Tamandua tetradactyla: one gene and its partner. The protein of the gene in region 2 interacts with the protein of the main gene of each other region in a pairwise test. Links are inferred from orthologs where the notes say so. Each region holds a gene or a part of one and is shown on either strand. Other genes may lie near its edges.

Region 1 (7,210 bases), on a different chromosome or scaffold from region 2:
CTTCATACTGGATGGAAGGAGGAGAATCCTGTGCCTTATGTGCTTCATAAGTGGAACAACCAGTTCTCCTTCTTTTCATCCTCTCCCATAACAGGGGAGAATGATGCCTCCTAACCTCTTGAGAGCTTCCCTGGCGCAAATCAGGTGGCTTCTCAGCTTTTCCCATTATCAATTTAAGGTTCAACCCTCTCGGTTTTACAAAAGAAACGATCACTCATTCCTAACTTTTCTGCTTGCATAGTTTTGTTTCTGTTGTCTTCTATCCTATTTTCTTTGTTCTTGTCTGTATTTATCTTTTTTACAAGCTCCTTTCTGTTATTTTATTAGGATTTCTGGAGGGAGTGGAGGCAAATGCCTAAATTCAAACTATTATCTTAATCTGGAAGCCAAAAATGAGGTCTTAACTGGTCTTCATGCACCTACTCTTACTACTGTATATTCCATTGACCAGCTGTAGCAATCTTTTGAAACGCAAATCTAAGATGTAACCTCCCTGCTTAAAACAGTTCACTGTTTTCCAGTACTCCTAGAAGAATGAACCATAATCTTCAAGAGAGTCTGACTTTTTCTTGCAGCCTCATGTTTTCCTGTGTGCTCCTGTGCACTCTATCCACTGTGATCCTCTTCCTGTACTTTTAATACCAGAGAGACTTTACACTTATCTGCCTGGAACTCTCCTCCTTTTCTCCTTACCCATGCCCAGAAATTTCCCTTAACATTGTTAACTTACCTTCCTTCCTTCTAGCTCATTCATTATTATTATTATTTTTTTTTTTGGTATGCTGGATGGTGAGGGTTACATTTCATTCTTTTCCCATTTGAGTATTCTGTTATTACAGCACCATTTGTTGAATTTTTGGGGGGGTGGGGGTGGGGGGGGGGAAGTGCGTGGGCCAGGAATTGAACCCAAATCTCCCACGTGGCAGGCAAGAATTTTAACACTGAACTATCCTAGCACCCCTTCATTCATCAGTTTCTAATGGTATCCCTCCTGCCTTCCTGACTAGGCCAGGCCCTCCTATGAAATACTTTCACAATACCATGTATTTTAGAGCACTTATCCCTTTGGTAAATTTACATTTAGATGTGCAATTCTTTCATCTGCTTTCCTCTCAGTGTAGTAAAAGAAAGGATTATGTCTCTTTTTGTTCATCATTTCTCCTCAGTACCAGGTGCTCTGCCTGGGCCATTGTATGCATTTACTACACATTTGTTGTAATGGAAAGAATAAACCAAAACTTGCTTCTTTCCCTTTATTCTCTAGCTTATTAACATCTTTCAAACTTTAAGGGGAACTCTGTGCTTTCTCTCCTCATTTCATCCCTGGGAAGGCAGCAGAGGGTCAATATGGGTTATGGCTGGAACCACAAGACCTCTGGACATGATCCTAAAGGACAGAATTATTTGGTGCATAATTGATATGGCTTTTTGAATTATCTTTTTTGGGCTTTTCCTTACATTCTCCTTGTTTGGAATTTTTTCTTAGATACTTCTTCCTCTGGCCTTCTTCGTTTTCATCAAACTGAGAGTGAATGGAACACAGCGAAAGAAAGCCTAACTAAAAGGAGACATCCTATTTCACATGTGGTCCTGACCACTTTCCCAGGAATGAGTTTGACAACTGAGATTTGGGGGCCAAAGCTTAAGAAATAAAATATGGTGATTTTACCCAGTATTTTCTCCTTTCTGCATATCTCCCATTCAGGATCCTTATCTCTATCTTTCTCTCCTGGAAGCAAGACTCACATTTATCTCAGGCAAGAAGTTATTCAAGATATTGAACACACAATCCACGTTCAGTAAATGTCAGTAGATTGAATGGAGGTCAAGTGTAGAAAAGGAATGAAGATCTTGGATAACATCAAAGAACTGTAAGGCCAAGTGATGCAAATACGTTCATGTGGATGTTGAAGAGCTATAGGAAGGGTGCATCTGAAAACTGTCTGAAACCAAAATCATTCAGGAGGGTAGATGGTGCTGTAGTTGTGATAAAATGCCTGGGGAGGCTGATTAACTGCTCACACAGAGTCACAAAGTCACCGGTGCTCAGTGTGGCCACCATGTTTCATGGTATAGTCCTCTCTTTTGCTGTTTCAGAAACATAGCTTTCTCTCTTTTCCCCCAAATGATTGGTTTTTCATGCAGAGACACTGAAGGCACAAAACCTCCGCAGTAATTGAAATATCATGTGGGAAAACCCAATTACCATGACTGGAATTTTCTTTCTTTCTTTCTTTCTTTTTTTTTTTTTTTGATTGTGTGGCATGTCCTCAAATCCAGTTATGATCATCTGAAAAATGTGGGAGGCCAACTAGAAAAGCCAGACATTCAATGTAGAAAAAGTCTGTGTGATTATGGGGGCTGATGAGCCCAGAACGATGGAGAAAGCAATGAGAAGCTGTCAATGTCTAGTTTAAGCCTGTTCAGGGGAGTGTCTGTTCTGGTCATATTTGGCCAGAGGAGCCCTCTAGCAAGTGTTCATGAAATGATAGCTATTGTTTTTGTTAATATGGGTAAGGATGTCTCCAGGTAGCCTTAACTGAAAAACATTTTTTGAGATTAGGTAACTCTTTGTGCTCTATCTCCATTCTTAGCAAATAACTTTCTGATCATTTGACTCCATATTGAGAATGCATACGGGCCAGGAAAGTGCTGGTTGATCTGAAATGATCTCAGATTCACTTTACTAGTGTTTCTTCTTTGGATTTAATGTTGATATTCTGGAATTTACATTTTGCTTTTGTGTGCTTGCTATTAAAGGGAGTCTGCCTCAGAATTCTTCTGTGTATTATAGTACAGTAGCCACTGGAGGCAAATCACTAGCATTCAATTCTTGGCATTACCTTGTACTATGTGACATTGGGCGAGTTATGCAACCCTCTATGCTCCCTTTCTCTTATTTGTAAGACAGGAAAAATAAGAGTACTGATGATAGTTTAAGAATAAAGTGAAATACTGCAAAGGGACTGATACATAACACACCCTCAAAAGCCCTTAAGGTCAGTTTCTTGAGCAAGACTGGGACCAAACACTGAAGTATGGGGAATAATCAAGGTAAATACTACCTAATCAATGTGACCAGCTCCCAAAGATGACTTCCTCTGCCTCTCTTTGTATCACTATGACAGCTGAAACAAGTGGCTAACAGAATCGTTCCAGATATTTGCATATATTAATTTATTCAACATTCCTTACAACTCAAAAGGTAGGTACTATTGTTATTCTGTTTTACAGATGAGGAAACTGAGGCATAGAAAGGTTAAGTGATTTACCCCACTCTGGGAACCATATTTTACTCACTTGTTAAACTACCTCGTTTCTCACAAACATATTAAATTTGAGAATGATTATTTTGCTGTGGGAGAAGGATTCAAAGCCCATTTGCTCACTCATCTGTGTCAATGTTTTAAAAATGTCATTTCTGCTTTTTTAGTAAACTTTTAATCAATCCATAAATGCATTATGTAATTGCATGGGCTTTTTATTAGATACAAATAATAATATAAAACCAAACATAAGTTGTTCACCAACTACTACATAGCAGGAATCAAAGAATTTGTACTTGTTCCTGTAATTGTGCTTTTCATTCCCCAATTTTCAGGACTAACACTTCTGTTCTCGTCTCAAAATACCTTAGGGTGGGAAGGATAAATTTATAAAGGCCCTTCTTCACAAAGTTACTAATACCCATAAAATTGAGAAAGAGCATTTATTAAGCCTTTGGGTGTTGTTACCATACCTGGCGTACATCTAAGGCAGTAAAATAAACACTTCTGTGGCCTTTTACAGTTTACACAGAGACTTTCAGAAGATGCTTATACCACATGGTAACAAAAGCATCAAAAGGACAAAGTAATCGCCAACTTTCCTCTTCTTTTGCATCTCTTTCTTTAACTCCTAGGAATCCCGAGCTTTTGTGCAGGAGGTATTCACCGGTTAATTTCTTCAAAAGCCCCCTCTGACTCCAACCAGTAGACCCTTTGTTTCCGAATTTCGCCTTCCCCTGGGCGAAGCTCACCGGTTGGCTGGAATCAGAACATGCGCGGAAGTTTAGCAAATTCAGGGCGGGTTGGCGCGTTTGCCAGGCACCGCCTCCCTTCCCCTAACAACTGGAAGCGGCGCGTGCGTACACGGGGCCTCCCGCCGGGCTGGTGGGTTACGTCTGGTGTGCGCATGTGCAAACAAACTGTACATCCGTTTGTCCCGACCGGAGGGGCGAGTGGGCGCCATCTTCTTCTAGGTTTGTTGAGGGCTCTGCCGGTTCTGCGGAGGCTGCTGCGACGAGGAGCGCCCGCCACCCCAGCCTTGTGTGTCCAACTCGGCAGCAGTGGTGTGTGTTTATTGCCAAGTGCGAAGCAGTTACCCTTTGGGTGTGGTGGGTGGGGAGGGTTGCGACGAGGACGAAAGAACAGGGAAAGGCGGGGCCGGTGGCCGCGCCATGATTTAGCGTAGCTTCAGCGGTTAGGGCACCCTCTTTTCTAGCTGAACACCACCTCTCGGGTCTGTCTCCGTACGGTGGTGTGTGTGTGCGTGCGCTTCCCAGTGACCTTGACAGTGAAGATCTCGAAGGATTTCGTAGGTATTTTTTTGTTTGCTATGTCATCGTAGTCATTAGAGGCAGGAAAACGCCTGGCTTGTTAAGACTTGAGAGGGGCGAAAATATTTCAATTAGGTTTGGGTACAGTTCATCCTGTGGCGAGTTAGCTTGGAATGTGAGCCTTTGGGACGGTGTAACAGAAAGGCACCGGAGGTTGGGCGGTCCAGGTTAATTTGAAGGCTGATTTTGGCTGAAGGCTTGGCGACAGCATCGGATCCCACGTAGCAACTTTGGCCTGGCGCGGAGGAAGTCCTGACCCCTGGGAGTGTGGACAGAGGCTTTGGGCTATAGAATCGATGCCTTCCGATGATCCCCGTTTGAGGATGATGGATGTTATGGGAAATCCTGTGCCATGTGGATTCGTCTTCATATACAGTTCATATTGGGGACCATGGCTCTGTGTCGTCATGCCTTTATTTTAACCATCTACGTGTAAAAAGGCAGATCATCGTAAAGAATAATTGTGGACTCGGGTAGATTTTCTGCAGGGGAAACTCGCATTTAGAATTTGGATGTTCTTCATCATAATTTTGGGTTTTAAAAAGTAGTCACAGGCAAACAGTAAAAGGTTTTCTCTCCCTCACCATGTCTGGAAAATGACTTGTTTGTTTGTCATTTAAAATCAAATGGCTCTGAGATAATGCCTATTAATTCATTCCCCGTTCTCTATTTCCTTATTAGTCTTTGTGTTGTTTTAGTAATAGTGATTTCCTTATTAGTCTTTATTTTGTGTTGTTTAGGAATAGTGGTGATTAAGTTGGATGAACCGTTGGGTAAAATCAGCAAAAAACACTTAAAATGAGCTTATTAATTCCAGTGGCTTACTCTGATATGAGCCCTTAGGATCCGCTTCATTCTTTCCATAGGTTTGTAGTTCTGGCAGATTGCTGTGTCTTTAAATCAACTCAGAGTCACTCAAATACTTTCGTTGCATTCTTTAGAAAATTTGTAAGTGCTGAGTACTTTAGAGTATTTTGTGTATTTGGCTTTCGGTGTAATCTAATGTTCTAAGTAGAATTTCTGGAGAATTTGCCTTAAGGAAATAGTATATGGGAATCATTGGAAGAGTGCTCATTTTGAGAGCTCATGTCTTACAGGTGTTCTCCTGGTTAGAGAAACAAATTACCCTGCTGTCCGAAAGGCCAAAAAGTCTAAGCGTTAGATAAAACTGGAAAATTAGAACAAACTTTAGTCTGCTTGAGTTGGAATTCATGAGATACTCATGTGATTGCTTAAAACATAGTTTCTAAGCTAGGATAAACTAATTACTGGAGATTTTTTTGTTTGACATATTATTCTTTGAGACATTTGCCACTAATTTTTCTGGTAGAAGAATTTGTGTTCTTAGGGCAAATCCCTTTTTAAATATTAAAAGTGCTTAGGGTGTACAAAATGGTGCATAACCAGTATGCTTTCTAAAATATTTTAAAAGTAAAAAAGTAGCAAAGTCAATTTGCATAGGAGGGAGTCTTGGAAATTTAATGTGTATAACTGTTTCAGAAGACATAGATTTTGTCGAAATGTTGGTGTGGATATTAATTTGTTGATGAAGCTAGGCTTATACTTTTTTTGGGGGGTACCATGAACATATTTTAATCTCATTAATTAGATATTGATAATAATTCAGATGTAGGAGTGCCAAGTAATTTCTTGGTGTCTTTATCTGTTTAGCTTTTAACAGTTTTAAAAGTAGTTTTAAAAGTGTAGTCTATGGCTCCCTTTTAAAAGAAAACAAACCTTACAGATCTCAAAGAATGTCTTCAGAATCCATTTTGAGGCACAAGGGTACTTAAGTGTAAATATTAAACTGCAGCAAAATTTATTTGCAGATTAAAAACATAAATTTATAATGATTAATTTAGTAAGTCTTAACAGTTTGACAGTACCTCAATAAGTATTGTTAGTTGTGTATCCCTGAGAGTATTAGATGTATGTTTCCTTAAAAAGAATAGTAAATTGAGTTTTTTTTTAAGTAGCTGTATTGTTAATTACCACATGTTCCAAGTTAATGTGTTTTTATTATATTTTTTAGTTTTCTATGGTGTCATTTGGGTTTCCTCGTTGGAGTGCTAGTTAGTTGTTTGAATGGGAATAAATTTATTGGCATGATAAGATTCTATAATTATCTCAACATTTTCTATCTAGCTTGGGATGAGTGTTAATAGTTATTGTCTTAGGAGTTTAAGACAAGAAGTGATATTGAGAACTTTGATTTTAGAGATATTTTACTATTTTCCTCAATTACATTTTAGATCAGTTTTTCAAATGCGAAGAAGAATCAAAAATTTGATTACATGTTTGGAAATGTGAGCTGTATATATAAAACTTAAAATTCTATCTAAATGGTAGTCTGTAATTTGGATTTGTTATTTTAAGAATGATTTTTGAATTTCAAGTGCTGGTAGTTTTTGCTCTTATGTATTTAAAGGGAGAAGGTGGTAGAAGAGTTGTACATAAATACGATCTAGATGTTTGGTTTTTTGTAGGTGAAAGTAATGGAAGGTTTTTTGGACTTTTTTTAAATGGCTATAAAATATATAAACAATGCAATGCCCAGATCTTAAGGTAGAATTCAGTGAGTTTTGATAAATTTATACATCTGTGTGACTGCCA
Region 2 (7,538 bases):
CTGACCCACAGGCACTTACAACCCAATACTCATCTGACCCCAACCTCTGCCTCTCTTCCTGCAGCAGCTGTCCTCAACTTAGTAAATGACACCACATACCTATCCAGGTCAACCAAATTGGAAATGTGGGATCAGCCTCAACTCCTACCTTTTTCTTGATCCCCTCCCAACCTCATATCCAACCATGGAATCCACTGTGTTTATTGTAATCACCTGCAAACTGTACCATCTCCCTTGTGAGACCCTGAGTAACACAGGGCTGAAACCTTATTTGTCTCATTTATCACTGCATTCCTAGAGCCTAGCACAGTTCCTGGCCCACAAAAGGTGTCAAATGTCTACTGAAAATAAATCAATCATCTGCTATTTCCTCTGTCTGCAAGGCCTTTCCTAGCATCTTCCTGAACCAATGCTCACTTGGGGACAAGCCTAAACTGCTTTGTAGGAGTGGGGGAGGATAACTTACCGTCTTTCATACTCCATATCCTGATAGGGCCTGCGGGGGCTGCTGGGGCCCCTCCTTAGCCGCTGGCTCCGTTTCACTTCCCAGCCACCCCCACTGCTGCCACCATGATCTGCCAGCCTGGGTGATTCCTCCTGTAGGGACTCTAGGGAGATGGGAGGAAAGAAAGGGGTCAAGGCAGCTGGGGCAGAAAAGGTCTCCTTGAGAAACTCTGGTTGTCCAGATATTTTGCTGTTCTTTAGCCTGGGACATTGTTTTCCAACTCCTAGTACTCCTGTAGACCAAAATGGGAATACAACTACTGCTTGGCCTCCTTCTTCCTTTCTCCACAAACACGTGGCTAGAGCCCTCTCCCTAGAAATAGCAAGACCGTCATCAGATAGGAGAGCATCTTGTAGAGAGAGCTGGAACACTCAGAGGGGCCACAGACCTCGGAGACTGGAGGGGTAGTGATGTCACCCACCCATCCAGTATTCAGGGATTTGCCACCTGAGACTTGTAGACAAGCTGCCTGCCCAGGGGAGCGCTTAGCGCTGAATGACCTGCCACAGAATAGACACTTTAAGTACAGAGGTGAGACTCCACAGCAAGGGGAGTCTCAGGCATCCACCAGGCTCCTTCTAGGCCCCCAGGAGCCATTTCGTCCTCCTAACAAGATTCTGCAAGGGGACAGGAAGGAGACCATGAAACATTCTTGGGTGAGGAGGGGGGTGGGGGCTAATTTGGCAACGAGATAGCTGCTGTCTCACTAGGCTCCTGGCCAGCTCAGCTTTGGCTCTCACAGGGCAATTGGGTCAAACTAATATTCAGCCAGGTCCCAAAGTGGCTCTCTCCCCAGGGTTTGGGCCCAAGTCTTCTCAGACGTAACAGGGGCCCTTTCAGAGGCTGTTTCAAACCACTGTGCTATTCTGCTAGGCCAGAGGAGCAGTCAGTCAACTCACTCAACCCTGAGGGTTGCGGAGCCATGTGACCCAGCCAAGGGTCATGATATATCCTGAATCTTCAGGCCCCACCCTGTGAACAGGAATCTGAGAAAAGCCTATCGGTTACAGCACCTGCCCAACACTAGGATGCCACCACACCTTTCCCCATGCATACACACACCAATTTTCTCTTCCTCCTCAAGCCACAGGGAACCAGAGTTACCTATCTCCAGATACCTAAAGATTAGAATCACAACCAGGGGTCCACTTGGATGAAACCCAGATACAGGCTCTGGCAAAGGAACCAGAGCCACAACAGATAGAGGCCAAAGTCACAGATACGAGCCCCAAATAACTACAGGCAGAAATCACAGATAGAGACCCGCAATAAATAAGGGCCATAATCACACACTGAGCTCCCTTTCAATGGATAAGTATCACAGTCACAGATAGAAACCTCTCAAAAGAAGGGGCAATAAACCACACATACACTCCCTACACTCAATAAGTGGGTTAGGGCCTAGACACTGCCCCCCCACCCCCTACCCCACATGAGTAAGGACCAGAGTCACAGACATACCCTAGGGATAAAGAGCGGAGTCGTACAAACTATGAGCCCCCGCCGGCTCACGAATAAGGACCAGAGCCACAAAACATGTCCCCACTGATAGACAGGTACCAGTCACATAGACCGAGCAGACAGCACATCCCCTCCCCTGTGGATAAAAACTAAAGTCGCAGACACCCGACTCTCCAGGGATAAAGCCCAGCGTCACTGACAGTAAGCCACAGTAACCCACTCCCATCCTTCCCTCCCTTCCCCCAACTCGCGTGCACCCATCCCCGTGGTCCCAATCGCGCACGCGCCTTTGGTCTCAAAGGGGAAAAAAAAAAAGTCACCCTCTCCCGGGTTCAGACTGTGCACTCATCCCTCAGTTCCGCGCACCCTCCAGGCCCCTGGCCCGCAGTCCTTCCTTGCGCTCCTCTACGCACCCCGTTTCCCAGCCCCTTACCTCCACCCTCAAGACCAGCGTCGACGCTCACCTTCTCGGTCCGGGCTGTCACGGGAGGGCTCCCAGACATCACCTCGGCCCGTCGCCACCGCATCCAACTCTCCCAGCTCAGCCGGAGCTGGTCAGCGTAACCACCAAGTCCGTGGCTGGAGGCAGAGGGGAGGAGGAGGGGAGAAAGGGGAAGGGAGAAGCGCCAGACGCGCTACCCTCCCCGGAAAACCCACTGCCACCTACTCCCAGTCGATCTCAAACAGCCACACAAAATGGCGACGACGAGAAGGGAACCGGTGCTTCGACCACCATCCACCTACTAAGGGAGCGCGCTCCGCCGGTCCTCGTCTATTGGTCGCCGCCCGCGGTCGGCCAACCCTGGCCTCCTCTGATTGGCAAGCGAATGCCACCTCCCCACTCCCGCGTGCGAACGCCCGCAAGTCGAGAAAAAGAGTGGCCATTGGTCAATCCCGCGAGGCCCGCTTCTTAGAAGCTTGGCTTCCTTTGAAGATGAAAGGCAAACGGAAGCCCCGCCCCTTCCCCAAACAGCAAGGGAACTCGCTGTGCGATTGGCTGTGAACCACCCAAATGACACCGCTTTTTTCCCATCAAGGAAGAGAGCAGACCTGTCAATAAGAAACTCCTCAGCCCGAAGGAGAGGATAAGAGAAGGGTTGGTCCCTCCAGGACATGACAGAGAGAGGGAAAGAGGGCCACGCAGCGCCCCGCCTCATTTGAAAAGAAAATCAGACCTGAGACTTATTTACTGCGGCGGCGGCGGAGCGACAAATATCGCGCACGCGCAAACTGCAGCTGCGCAGAATCGCATTGCCGTCCCCGCCCCTAAGTTACTACGGAGCAATCTATCATGGCGGTCGGGCAACTAGGTTTGTACGCTCGCCGCATTTTGGCTGCAGCTGCGACGCGGGGGCTCCCGGCTGCCCGTGTCCGTTGGGAATCCGGCTCTTCTCGGGCTGTAGTCGCTCCACCTGTCGTGGCGGAGAAGCGTACTCGGGAACCGACCATACGCTGGCAGGAGGACCCGGATCCCGAGGACGAAAACCTCTACGAGAAGGTGAGAGGGAGGGGGAACTAGGACGTCGAAAGGGTCAATCGGGAGCAGGCTGACGGAGCGCAGTAGAGGACGTTCTTAGTTGACCGAAGGTTGCGCAGCTGGCGAAATCCTCTATGAATTTTGCCTAGCTTGTTCGCCTAATTTGTCCCCTGAGAGTCTGGTCTAGGGCCAGATGCGGGATTGGCATTATTTTGCAGACAGAAATCAAACTTGAAGTGGGCAATTCTCAAACCACGTTAGAAGCAATATAGTATAACAACAATAATATTAAACACCAATATGGCGCTTATTCTGCCAGGCAGTGTTCTAAGGACTTTATATGCATTAGCTCATCTAAGAAGCAATAATGTTTTGAGATAGACACTATTATATACCCATTTTACAGATGCGAGAACAAGCGCAGGGATGTTAGATGCTTGTCTCAGCTAACATAACATAACTGAATACATGGTGGAAATAGGTATTTGAACCTAGGTCTACTGGTCTGCTGTCCTGTATTAATAACAGACTCTAAAGTCAAATGGCCTGGGTTCGGATCCAGACACTTAATAGTTACTCATTTGTGTGACCTTGGGCAAGTGGTTCAACCTCTTGTGCCTAAGTTTTCTTTGTAAAATGGGGAAGTAATAAAAACACTATCTAAAGAATAGAATACTATACCTGCCTCATGCAATTAAATTAACCAAAATGGTCAGAACAGCAGCTTGTACTTGGTAAGTACTCAGCTTTAGAAGCTGTAAATTATTATTGGCACTTTCTGCCTGTTGGGATATTGTGAGGTTTGCATATGTAAAAAGACCTGGCACATAATAGGTACCACATCAGAATTAATTTCTGGTTTACAGAGTTAGATTTGCAAAACGCTTATTCACTTTTTACTCATTGTAAATATGTAATGAGGGCCTGCTGTATGCCAGGCACAGTTCTGGGTCCTAGGGATACAGCAATGTGGAAATCAGACAAAGCCTGTACTTTCATAGAGCTTAAGTGATGTTGGGGGAAGACTTAAAAATAAACATGTAAACTATTGGATGACAATAATATAGAATAATATAATAGGTAATACAATAATGTGATACAGAGGATCTGGGCAGATGTTACTTTGGTAAATAATCTCAAATAATGGTAAATGAAAGTTAAGCAGCATAAGAAAGAAATGAAAAGAAAGTTAAGCAGCATAAGGGGATAGAGTGACATGGAGATTGGGAATTACCTTATTAGATTGAAACCACAGAAAATTACCAACGTTCAACCATTTTAAGTGGTAGTTTCATATGGTTCAATGTAGTCGATAAGGTGATTAATGAACACCTCCTAAAGGAATTGAGTGAGGAGAAGCCAGCCATGACTGGATCTGGGAGAAAAGCAGAGGGAACAGCAAGTGCAAAAGGCCTAGTGATGGGAAGAAACTTGGCATGTCCTAAAAATAGAAAGAGAGGAATACAGTGAGGGAGAGAATGTTGGTCCGAGGTGAGATTGGAAACCAGGTTATAAAGGGCCAGCATGAGGCTTCATGGAAAAGCAGGAAGCTCTCATTGATATCATCATCCTGCCACAGAACCCAGACTCCCATGGTTATGACACGGACCCTGTTGTGGACCTCTGGAACATGCGGGCCGTCTTCTTCTTTGGCTTTTCCATTGTCCTTGTCCTTGGCAGCACCTTTGTGGCTTACCTGCCTGACTACAGGTACATGGGAAGTCTGAGAGAGTGGGATGGGTGGGGGGGAGCAGAGGCAAGGGTCGGGGTTGAAGGGAACTCTGCCAGGAATCCTGTTCCTGCACTGTTGGGGAAAGGGGAGCTGAGATGGGGGATTGGATTGGTGTTTGGTGAGGCTCCCTCCTGTCTATTCCTGCTGCTGCCATCTCCAGGATGCGAGAGTGGGCCCGCCGGGAAGCGGAGAGGCTTGTAAAGTACCGCGAAGCTAATGGCCTCCCCCTCATGGAATCCAACTGCTTTGACCCCAGCAAGATCCAGCTGCCAGAGGATGAGCAGTAACCAGTTGCTGAGTGGGGCTCTGGAAGCACCTCCCTCTCCACTCCCCTCCCACCATCCTGCCATCTCCTCAGAGCACCTGATGATTAAAGGGACTGAAAGTCTGCCTGGCTAGCTGTTGATTTTGTCGAGGAGGGGAGGCTGGCAGGGGGCTGGTATCACAAGCCTTAAAAGGGCCACTTGCAGCCTTTTTTTGGTGTTCTGGCTATCTATTGCTGTGTAACAACCACCCTAAAACTTGTAGCTTAAAACAACACTTTATTATTCTCTCTCGTGTATTTATGGATTGGCAGGGCTCACCTAGATGGTTCTTCCTTGGGATCTCTCAGGTGGTTGCAGTCAGATGGTGGCTGGGGCTGGAGCCATCTGAAGGCTCAACTGGGCTGGATGTCCAAGACTTCTTTAGGCACATGACTGGCACTTGAGTCTTTTTCTGTATGGCCTTCCTCTCTAGCAGAAGGGCCTGGGCTTCTTACATGGTGGCTCAGGGCTCCCCTGGATAAGGGAGTAGCATATAGAAAGAAATGCATGACAGTCATCTTTAGAGACAAGCTACCACATAGCAATCTCTTCAATTTGAAGAAGAGCTAGGAAGACCTGGCATTGAGGGTGGTGAGCAGAGCAGGGCTGTTCTATTGCTGAGTGTTTTAGTTTGCTAATGCTGCCAGAATGCAATACACCAAAAAAAAAAAAAAAAAATGGACAGGCTTTTTATAAAGGGGATTTATTTAGTTACAAATTTACAGTTCTTTGGAGGAAAGGCAGCTGGCTTTCCTCTGGCTTTATCTGTTTCATGGGAAGGCACACAGCAATATCTGTTGGTCTTCCCTCCCAGTTTCTGGGTTCAAACAGTTTTCCCCAGGGCAATTCCTTTCTGCATCTCCAAATGTCTGGTTCTGAGTTGCTGAGTGCTCTTCTGAGCTTTCTCTGTCTCTCTCTTTTTTTTTTTGCACGGGCAGACACCAGGAATTGAACCCAGGTCTCCAGCATGGCAGGCGAGAATTCTGCCACTGAGCTAAGTCGCACCACCCCTGACCTTTCTCTTTTAAGCCTCCAGCTAATTAAATTAAATGTCACTCATTGCAGAGGGCACACCCCTTAGCTGACCGCAGGTATAATTGGCCATAGAATTTCACATACTGATGATTTAAGTCAACAACAGAACAACAGGCACCATCACCTGGTCAAGTTGACACCTGAAACTAACTACTACACTGAGGGTGGGTGTTTGTCCCCATCCCTGCCTTCTCTGTTTCTCTTTGGACTTTGAAGTTTCTGCCTCTGTCTTAGTGAGTCTGGATGCCCCTCTCTTCCCTTCTACCCCGAATCTGGGTGGTTTGTAACTCAAAATATGCACCCGTGTGTGTGTGTGTGTGTGTGTGTGTGTGTGTGTGTGTGTGTGTGTGTGTGTTCTCCCCCCTTCTTGCTCTCTGTCTCTGTGTCTGTCTCTCAAGCAGGAAGTCTTTTCTTCTGTCTGTCTCTCTCTGGAAATAGGCTGTCTTGCATAAAGGCTCACTCTCTCAGGCTGTCTTTGGATCTGGCAGATGAAATAAGGCACTTTCTCTGGTTCTGGCTGTCTGTTTCTTTCCAAAGAGTTTCTTCTAATTCCCTGTTAAGTCTGGAATCTGGACTCCATACTTCTGGCATCTCGCCCTCTCTCCCTGGTAGCATCCCTTCCACAGCTCATGCATTCGAATTCACACATTACATACTCCTGTGTTTATCCCTGCTTTGGGCTTCAAAGAGTGTAGGTAACCCAGTCACTGACAAAATTTGACCCTGAAATAATTAGATTTGGTGAAAATTGGTCACAAAGCTCAGAATGACAGGAAATATTTATTCAGAAAAAATACTGAGTCCCTACTGGGTGCCAGGCACTGTTATAGGCAATAGGAATACAGCAGAGAACAAAAGATTTAAAAATTCCTTTTTTTATATTCTAGTAGGGAGAAACAGACAATAAGCAACACAATAAATGAGTATATTACATGCATGTTAAGAGGTGATAAGTAGGCATTCAATTCAAACCTAAGCCAGTAAGGGGGATCAGGAGTGCAGGGACTGGGAGGTTTGAAAAGC

What was found. The genes of interacting proteins can lie anywhere in the genome.
Region 1: the proteins of RBM10 (region 2) and RBM12B interact in a two-hybrid assay, tested with the Homo sapiens proteins (3 studies listed by BioGRID). The link is inferred for Tamandua tetradactyla from reciprocal best matches to the Homo sapiens genes RBM10 and RBM12B.

What each region holds. Positions count from the first base shown.
Region 1 is NC_135332.1:137,057,920-137,065,129, reverse strand, and holds the start of RBM12B (RNA-binding protein 12B), read left to right. Parts: upstream 1-4,173; 5' UTR 4,174-4,348; intron 4,349-7,210.
Region 2 is NC_135353.1:123,092,650-123,100,187, forward strand, and holds the start of RBM10 (RNA-binding protein 10), read right to left. Parts: upstream 3,014-7,538; 5' UTR 2,711-3,013; intron 2,546-2,710; 5' UTR 2,494-2,545; coding exon 2,400-2,493; intron 609-2,399; coding exon 467-608; intron 1-466. Other genes in the region: NDUFB11 (NADH dehydrogenase [ubiquinone] 1 beta subcomplex subunit 11, mitochondrial), read left to right, coding at 3,258-3,464, 5,023-5,153, 5,336-5,462. UniProt on the Homo sapiens protein: Binds to ssRNA containing the consensus sequence 5'-AGGUAA-3'. May be involved in post-transcriptional processing, most probably in mRNA splicing. Binds to RNA homopolymers, with a preference for poly(G) and poly(U) and little for poly(A).